Linked DNA regions of Drosophila melanogaster. The protein of the gene in region 2 interacts with the protein of the main gene of each other region in a biochemical or structural test. Each region holds a gene or a part of one and is shown on either strand. Other genes may lie near its edges. The genes, in order: mtrm and cort.

Evidence for each region.
Region 1: the proteins of cort (region 2) and mtrm form a complex in vitro, tested with the Drosophila melanogaster proteins (one study listed by BioGRID).

Annotation. Positions count from the first base shown.
Region 1 is NT_037436.4:8,410,893-8,414,725, forward strand, and holds mtrm (matrimony), read left to right. Parts: upstream 1-2,119; 5' UTR 2,120-2,182; coding exon 2,183-2,836; 3' UTR 2,837-3,211; downstream 3,212-3,833. Other genes in the region: Oseg1 (outer segment 1), read right to left, coding at 1-151, 223-453, 537-601; Exo70 (exocyst 70), read left to right, coding at 1,069-1,116, 1,170-1,335, 1,406-1,917, 3,326-3,390, 3,453-3,833. UniProt on the Drosophila melanogaster protein: Polo kinase inhibitor required to maintain G2 arrest in the meiotic cell cycle in females. Holds heterochromatically paired homologs together from the end of pachytene until metaphase I.
Region 2 is NT_033779.5:6,674,104-6,678,688, forward strand, and holds cort (cortex), read right to left. Parts: upstream 2,533-4,585; 5' UTR 2,448-2,532; coding exon 2,328-2,447; intron 2,269-2,327; coding exon 2,137-2,268; intron 2,072-2,136; coding exon 1,657-2,071; intron 1,599-1,656; coding exon 1,227-1,598; intron 1,169-1,226; coding exon 1,019-1,168; intron 960-1,018; coding exon 697-959; 3' UTR 579-696; downstream 1-578. Other genes in the region: cup, read left to right, coding at 198-211; CG34310 (uncharacterized protein), read left to right, coding at 1-125, 203-422; Nse1 (Non-SMC element 1), read right to left, coding at 2,738-3,445.

The DNA.
Region 1 (3,833 bases), on a different chromosome or scaffold from region 2:
GGTCCACGAGCAGCCATTGACACGCGCGGATATCTTGTACTTTTGCACCGCCTTCTGATCAGCCGACCAAAAGGCAAAATCCGACAAGGAGCACGAGGCCAGGTGGTGCGAAACAGGATTGAAGCTCATGCACTGTATGGAGTCACCGTGCCTATGAATGTAAATATATTTTTATATTTATATAAAAAACTAGAATTTATTGCAAGTGTGCTGAGAACTCACGAATACTTGAGCAGTCCCTCAAGCTGAGGTGACCACACGATGACCATTTTATCGGAGGCTCCGCTGGCGAACCGCTTGCCATCCCGCGAGTAGGCCACACAATTGACCGTATCCTTGTGCGCCTTCAAGGTGTTCAGCAAGGAGCCATCGTTTGGATCGTAGATGAGCAACCGATCCCCCGCAGCCACCACCAATTGGCTGCCATCGGGTGCGTAGCACACATTGTGGACACTGGAAAATTGGGTTTTGCAAATACCGTTATGGCGTTATAGCAAGCAACAGGTTGTTGTTTTCCACGAATGAGAAAGCTTTACCTGATCTCATTGTCTTTGCTATTGGGAAACTCTATGCGTTCCAGCCACTTGAGAACACCCCTCATTGTTGCAGAAGTCGAATTGGCTAATCCTGCATAGTTGGTAGAAATTCCTAAATGCAGGTGCGTTGTTTACACACAGATTCCATGGCAACCAACCACAACAAAAGTTGGCGTCTTGGCTGGAGATGGCAGTTTGGCGGGTTTTTCCGTTAGTTTTGGCTTTTAAAACTAGGACTTGACTAATAAACTAGTACTAGTAGTAAAAACAATTTATTTAAAACATAGCCTCATTATCGTTTACCTAATTGTCTAAGTGTACAATATTTAAAAAAAGTTTCTATTACTATCTGAAATGACCGTTATAATTTTTTTTTTCGTGCAAAGTAGTTGGCAACGCGGTAATTGACAGTATGACCAAAGCCAGTGTGCATAAATGCCTAGTTTCGTCAAAACAAAATAAAATAGAATTGTTTTTTATATCAGAACTATTGTTTGTTTTTAAAGGATTTTAGCTACATATACGCTTGAAAATGAACAATTTGGACAGTTCATTGCAGGCGCACAATAAATTGGAGAAGGTATGTCTAGTTGTCATGCTCAAAACCTCCATACTTACCCATTTTCCTCATAGGAAGCCACCAATTTAGCTCTGCTGAAAGATCGAGTGGATAAATACCATGATCTGTCCACGCAAATGTCCAGTATTCTAACAATCTTCGAGAAGCGCCTGGGAAACCTGGAGCAGACCATATTGCCCGTCTACCAGGAGACGGAGCAGCTCCAGAAACGGCAGCAGAGTATGAAAATAAACTCAATGGGATTTCAAAAAAAAAAAACTAATGTGTCACCGCCTCTTTTTTTTTTTAGATCTGGAAGCTACTCTCAATTGTCTGGAAAGCGTCCTGTCCCACTACGATGTCTCCCAAGAGGTCTGCCAGTTGATTCATCAAGGCCCGGTGGAGGGAAACATCTCGGTGTTCCTCGACGCACTAGCCAAACTGCGCGATGCCAACGATTACTTCCGGCACAACAATTCCCAGAGCGTGGAGCTGGAGAATGTCACCAGTTTGTTTAACACCGGCTGCGAAGGCCTGAGTCAGCACTATAGTATGCTCCTCAAGAAGCACAGTGCTCCGCTGAAGCCGGTGGAGTTGCTGGATCTTATCTACATAGAGGACGATTCCAGCGATGAATACACCTCATTCCGGCAGCTTTCGCAAACGACGCGCGAGGAGCTGTACACCATATCGCACTGGTTGGAGCAAAATTTAAGGGAGTACACAAACATCTACGCGACGGAACGGGGCGAAGTGGTTCTCCGATCGCTGCAGCTGCTCAAGGATCACCAAAAGAGCAACAGTTGGGGTCACGAGGCTCTGGTGAGTAAACAGTTCTTTCATATTCTAACTAGTATTAATACATATATATTATGTGGAGAAAAATAGTACGTAGTAGAATATGAATAGCGATGTGTACGATGATGAGCATATGTATGCTTTTCCCATCTCTGATCGTTTCGGTTAACGGTGTCTGTTCGAAAAAGCTTGTGCATGTAAGCATTACATGTCCAATTCGATGACCGCCATTTGCCAGCTTGAATTCGCAAAGAACGCATCATTTTCTGTGTCACAGTATCTAAAAAAAATGGAGAATTCTCGCACGCCCACGAACAAGACCAAAATTACGCTTAATCGCACGCCAACGCTAAAGGAGCGCAGATGGAACACCCTGAAGGTGAACACCTCCAACGTGCGATGCTCTACTCCGATCTTTGGCAACTTCCGTTCGCCCAATCTCTCGCCCATCGAGAATATGGGCACGAAGGGGAAGAGTCCAGTGTCGCCCATGCGGTTCGCTACCTTCAAGAAAGTGCCAACGAAGGTGCATCCCAAGCAGCAGCAGCAGCAGCAGCATCAGCACTGCCATCGCACTCAGCTTAAGCCCCCGCCATTCGTGCTGCCCAAGCCGCAGGAGGAGATCATCGAGCCGGAGCGAGAAATAAAGAGCTGCAGCAGCCCGGATACCTGTTCGGATGACTCGAATATGGAGACCTCACTGGCCTTGGAGTCGCGTCGTCGTTCCATCAAAGCATCGAACCACTCGTACGTGGTTAACCATGCCGCCAATGTGGAACAGATTCTCATGCACATGGGCCTGGAGAACTATGTGACCAATTTCGAAGAGGCTCACATCGATCTGGTGGAACTGGCATCCTTGGAGCGTGCTGATCTTGTTAAAATCGGCCTAAATACCGATGAGGATTGCAACCGTATCATGGATGTGCTCCACACTCTTTAAGTGAATCGCTGGCATGTCCATCTTTTATCATACACTAAGATTTTAAAATGTTTTATGTGAAGAGAAACTTTGTGATTTTAATATATGTGGATAATTAAGTAGGTATTCTAGAATTATTGTAAAAGACCTGGTGTCTTAAAGCTCGTCGTTTTTAGCCTTAAATAATAAACTCTAGTACACTTTAAGAATCTATGTAATTCCTAAAATGTTGCTCCGAAGCTCATTTACAAATTTAAATTTATTTCGTAAGCTAGCAAATTGCATAATACTTTTTGTCAAAAAAAAAAAAAAAAATTGGGGTATAAACGCTTTTGTAAAACACACATTTTTAAAATTAATAAACTCATAAGAATCAAATGCATATTAAAAGGTTACAAAAATAAGAGTTTTTAATTTGCTACCATTTTAGTACCTTAATTATTCCGAAGAAACATTAATGCAATGGCAATTAACAATTCAAATTAATGTTTTTAAAATGTTTTCTTGCAGAGACCGCGACACAGTGGACGCCAAACGGAGCCAAAAAAGACAACCTCCGCTCGTCTTCAGCAAATGTGAGAAATATTACTTAATTTCCAAGTTTTCGTATATGATATATTTAATTTATTCTGCATAGATTCGAAAAGAAGGCGAACAAGTTATATTTACGCGCGACGCAGACGATTGAGCAGTCCACAGGGTTCTCCATTAAGAAGGCATCATCGCACAGCGACCACCTGACCTCCGAGGATTTGATGGATGGCGATCAGGAACTGGACAAGTATCTGGTCATGTTGCTGGGACTGCAGCGGTTACTTAACTGGGAGCGAGCCATCATGATCGACATTATTCCCCAGTCGAAACACAACGAGGTATTCGCCACCTTGGCCTATAATGCCATCGATCTGGTGGTTAAGGACGCTGAGGCCATTACGCAACGCATCCTGCGCTGCATTTCCCGCAAGGAGTGGACCTCGGCGTTGGGAATATTCTCCGCCCTAAAGCGGGTTATACTGCT
Region 2 (4,585 bases):
GTGGTCACGGCCATTGGGCTGCTAGGCGGTATTTACATTTGGCAACCGCTGATTTTGAAGTACAAAAACGAGAAGAAAACCGAGGCAGAAACGCCAGCAGTAACTGAAACTAGTGGAACCACAAAGTTAGCCCGCACACTAAACCCTAATCTGCTGGCTAAAGTCATATATTAATTGAATTCCGTTCTCGCCCACAGATGAGTTTCATTAACGGCTTCAAAAGATTCGCCACAACGACGGTTGGTCTGATGGCCATCGGTATTGGATCGACTGTTATATTCTACACCACCCATCGCCTTGTCATCAAACCCTATCTTCTCGAGAAACGACGCCTGGAAGCCGAGGCCAGTGCGGAGTACCTCTTCCAGCAGGAGGTTCACTCCCAGATTGGCGAGTCAAGACCCAAACGGAGCGAATATTGAGCCAAGGCTGCCAGTGCCGTCATAGACATCTTTACATACTTATAGCCTAGTGATTAGTTACCAAATTTCAACGCTGTAACATGGTGAACAATGAATGGACTTTTACTTTCTTACCTTCACTTTGGGTGGAGAGGCCCATCTTCTTGTGTTCATTTTAGAGTTAAACAGAATGGATTTTTTATGAAAGTAATATGAATTGAATAAATAATGAAAAGCACAAATGGTTTGAATAAAAGACTAGAAACATAAACAATTAAAAATCACTGTGCTCTGTTCACCGTATGCCTTTGTACAGGCTCAGGGAGCTGCACTTGTCCTTGGCCTTTTGCTCTTGCTTTCTCAATATCGCCTCGCGCTTATAGGTGGGAAAGAAGTTCCACAGCGAAAAGGTGTCGTCCAGTCCGCCGGTGGCAATTTTCGTTCCATCCGGATTCCACATCAGGAAGAGGGTGCCGCGATCCTGATGGGACATCAAGTCAACCACGCGGTTTAAGGAGGCCAAGACCAGAATTTCGCACACTGCAAGGTCCGCATCATCTGTAGATATTAGAATACATTATTTTTAGCAAGCATTAAGGATCCAGTGCAGTTCTCACCACGCCGAATAACGTTGACCAGCAACTCGCCCGTGATTTTGCTGTATGTTAGTGTCTTTATAACGATTCTGTCATCCCTGCGCCTGTACGAAGCCACAAATTGTCGGCGCGGGATGTTGAATATGAAGATCGACGCAGGGCTTCGCTCCGCTGTTAAGATAATATTCATGTTGCAGATACTCTAATAATTAATCTGCCACTATCTTACCAACGGCTAAATCCTCTCCAGTCCACGGATGCCAGTCAAAGACTATGGACCTGCCGTCCAACTTGAGCAGGCGAACCTTTAGCACCGCATCGAAGATGAAAATCTTGCCATCCGTATCACTGGATGCGAAATACTTATGGGTGGGAGCAAACTTCATTTTCTTCACCGTGTGTCGATGCTCGCGCAACTGCATCAGGGTGTTTAGCGTGGGCATGGCCAGCACGATGATGACGCCGCACTGAGTGCCGCAGATGACCTCTTTGCCGTCGTGGGACCACTCAATGCAACTTATGTAGCCCATGGACTTGAAGAACAGCTTGCGGTAGGAGACCAAGAACTCCGTAGGCGACCTCACCTCCCAGAGGTCCAGAACTTGTACGAAAGAGGAGGGTTAGGGCTTTACAAAGTTATTGCTTAGGGTCTGTTATACCTGGATAGTTTCTATCCATGCAGCCGATTGCCAGGTGCTTGCCATCCGGCGAGTACTTGAGGGAAGTGGGCGACTCGACGCTGAAGACCATGGTGCTCTCGTCCAGATTGCGCCACAGCATGACATCCTGTCCGGAGGACATGGCCACCATGCCGCCGGACGACCAGTCCATCATGTTGTAGTCGACGGGACTGCATATGCCAGGCATCTCATGGGTGGCATTCTGAATGGCATATGGTCGCGCCCGTGGATTACATGGCCAGTCCGAATCGGCGGAGTCGTTATCGACCACCCTGGATCTTGTGCCCTGCTGGCTGCTAAACTGAAACAGGCGGCGCTCTCCGATGCCAAAGGTTCGGTTGATGTTCGATATGAAGCCGCTCTGTCGCCAGTAGCTGGCGGTCAAAGTGACACCCTGATTGTAAAAGTCATTTTCAATTAATAATGGAAAGTATATATAGCCAGAAGTACTGCACACACCGTTTCGAGGATATCTCGCTCCTTCCGCTTGCCAATGTACTTCAGGTTGAACTCGATGTTCTCCCGCTCAAATCGGTTGGGTATGAATCTTTCGCCGACATAGGACACCTCCTGCCCCTTGCTCGTATCACTCTGCGCGAAAAGAAAACTACGTTTAGGTGGTCAAATTGTTTTGAGGCCCATCATCTTACCTTGTAGGCCGCCTCCTGTTTCCAGTTTTTCCGCCGCACCTTTTTGAAGGGCGTCAGAGACTTTTTGTCCAGCTTGGAATTTTTATTGGGACTGTCACACACACTCATCTCGACGAACATTGAAACATTTCTGTTTTGCTAGCGCCATATTAAATTGGCAACGGATCAAAAAAAACTTACAGTTACAAGTACAGTGAACACTCGATAGGAGTGCATTTGGTCTTCTTTAATGTTTGCCATTTAAAGTGTGGAGTTTATACTTCTCGATGCTTTACATGAAGATGTTTTAAAATTCAAGTTAAGATGTTGCTTTAAATTATTTATTTTCTACCTTGAAATCATTTAGTTAATAAAGCGGACTACTGTTATTCTAGTATCAAAATCTATAGTACATGTCGCGGACATAATGATTAACCAATGGAGCGTCTTATTGGAGTTGTCCATAGGTTGCCGCAGGAGGGGCAAATATCGCGTCTCTGCAAGTAGGTTTGGATGCACCCGCGGTGGTACTGGATGTTGCAGGACCCGCAGCGAATGTCCCACAACACCAGGCACTTGCACAGCGTGCAGTTTTTTATGTTATCGGCGTGGTTCGAGCTCAAATAGAAACTGAGCTCGACGAGGCTACGTGGACCTAGGTAGATTCTGTCGGTCACCTCCATGAAGTAGCCCATTTGGATCCACTTCTGGAGCAGCTCCTGCATGCGGCTCTTCTTCAACGGCTTCGAGCTGGCCTGTAGGACGATATCATTGTAGGCGTCATTCCAGGCGATGTGGCAGTCCTCCTCGGAGGCGATCTTGTCCAGCAGTTTCGAAAAGTACTGACACTCCTCGGCAGTGAGCCCGGTGTTGGCCACGCTGTCCGGCGTAGCGTCCGTCTTGGCGTAAACCAGGTACTCCTCGGCCTTGACCGGATACTTGATGAAGACCAGCAACTGGCCCAAGTCGCTGATGGTGTCATTAATCTCCGCCACCAGTGCCCTAATCGCCTCCTTGCTGCCGGGCTTTGTAGTCTTGTGGTTGGCACATAGCGGGGCCAGGATATCATCGATCAGCTCGAAGCTGAGGTAGCTGTGGTTCTTGCACGCACGCAGGAACCCGCGTTTCACCAACTCCATTGCCAATGACTGAATATGTTTCAAAACAAATCCAAATATACACAATTCGATTCCGAAGCGCGCCGTTGCAGTGTGCCCAGCTATGCTGACGGGCGGTCAACTTCGGTCACACTATTTTTAAAAATCAATCGATGTTTTTTCAGATCTCCGATTTTAAAATCACTCGCACTATTTTTTGGCTTAATGAAGTTTAAATTTATCATACTTTCGGTGCCCCTAAAAAGAAATGCCCATCTATAATTCCTTTCTTTCTGCTTTGTTTCCATTAAAAAATTTAGCAATTATTAATTTTTTATTTATTTATTTTGGTTTTGACTTAAAAATTAACAGCACAACAATTAATATTTTCAGAGAGCTTCGCTTTGTTTTAAATACAGCGTATATATAGTAAGAAATAGGAGGGTCCTAGGTAATATCGGAAAATGTTATAGATCAGCAAGTGAATCAGCTTTGAAACTTAAAAACTAAACCGAATACAATTAGTCCGTTTTCGAAACGATATATTTACACTAACTGGCTTAGAACGAAAAAGCTATAAGTTTATGTTGTGTAAAATACATCAAAAATGAAATAGTATATGTTTGCCTGCGCCTGTGCCTTATAACTTTTTCCCGTAAAATCCTAAGAGCCGGATTCTCGTCGACACCGGACTTTGGACATGCTCCAGAATCTCCATCTGAATATAATATGGTTTGTGGTTTTCGGGCGATTACAATATACATGTTAGCACATTTTTCGATGTCGAATAGATAAGAAGAAGGAAATATGTCCATAAGTATGCGATTAAACTTTTGCTAGGCCATTCAATTTGGCTTGTGTATATATATATATATTTATGTATTTAGGAAAAACTAGGTAAATTGCAGAGGCAAGTTCTAAAAATAATAGAATCAAAGAGGCTATATATGCATGTAATTTATCGTGTTATAAGGTATGGTACTAGTGTACGTTAGCTCGATGATAGAAATCATTTTTATAGCTTCTGTGCCCTTACTGATCTTAAATAGTTGCACAACAACTTTCAGATTTGTGTTTATTACTAGAGTTCCGAATCACATTTCCATAAACAAGGATAAACTGAAAAGTAATATTCTAATTTGTACAGTTTTCACATTTTCGATTTCAGTTGAGACCAATTCA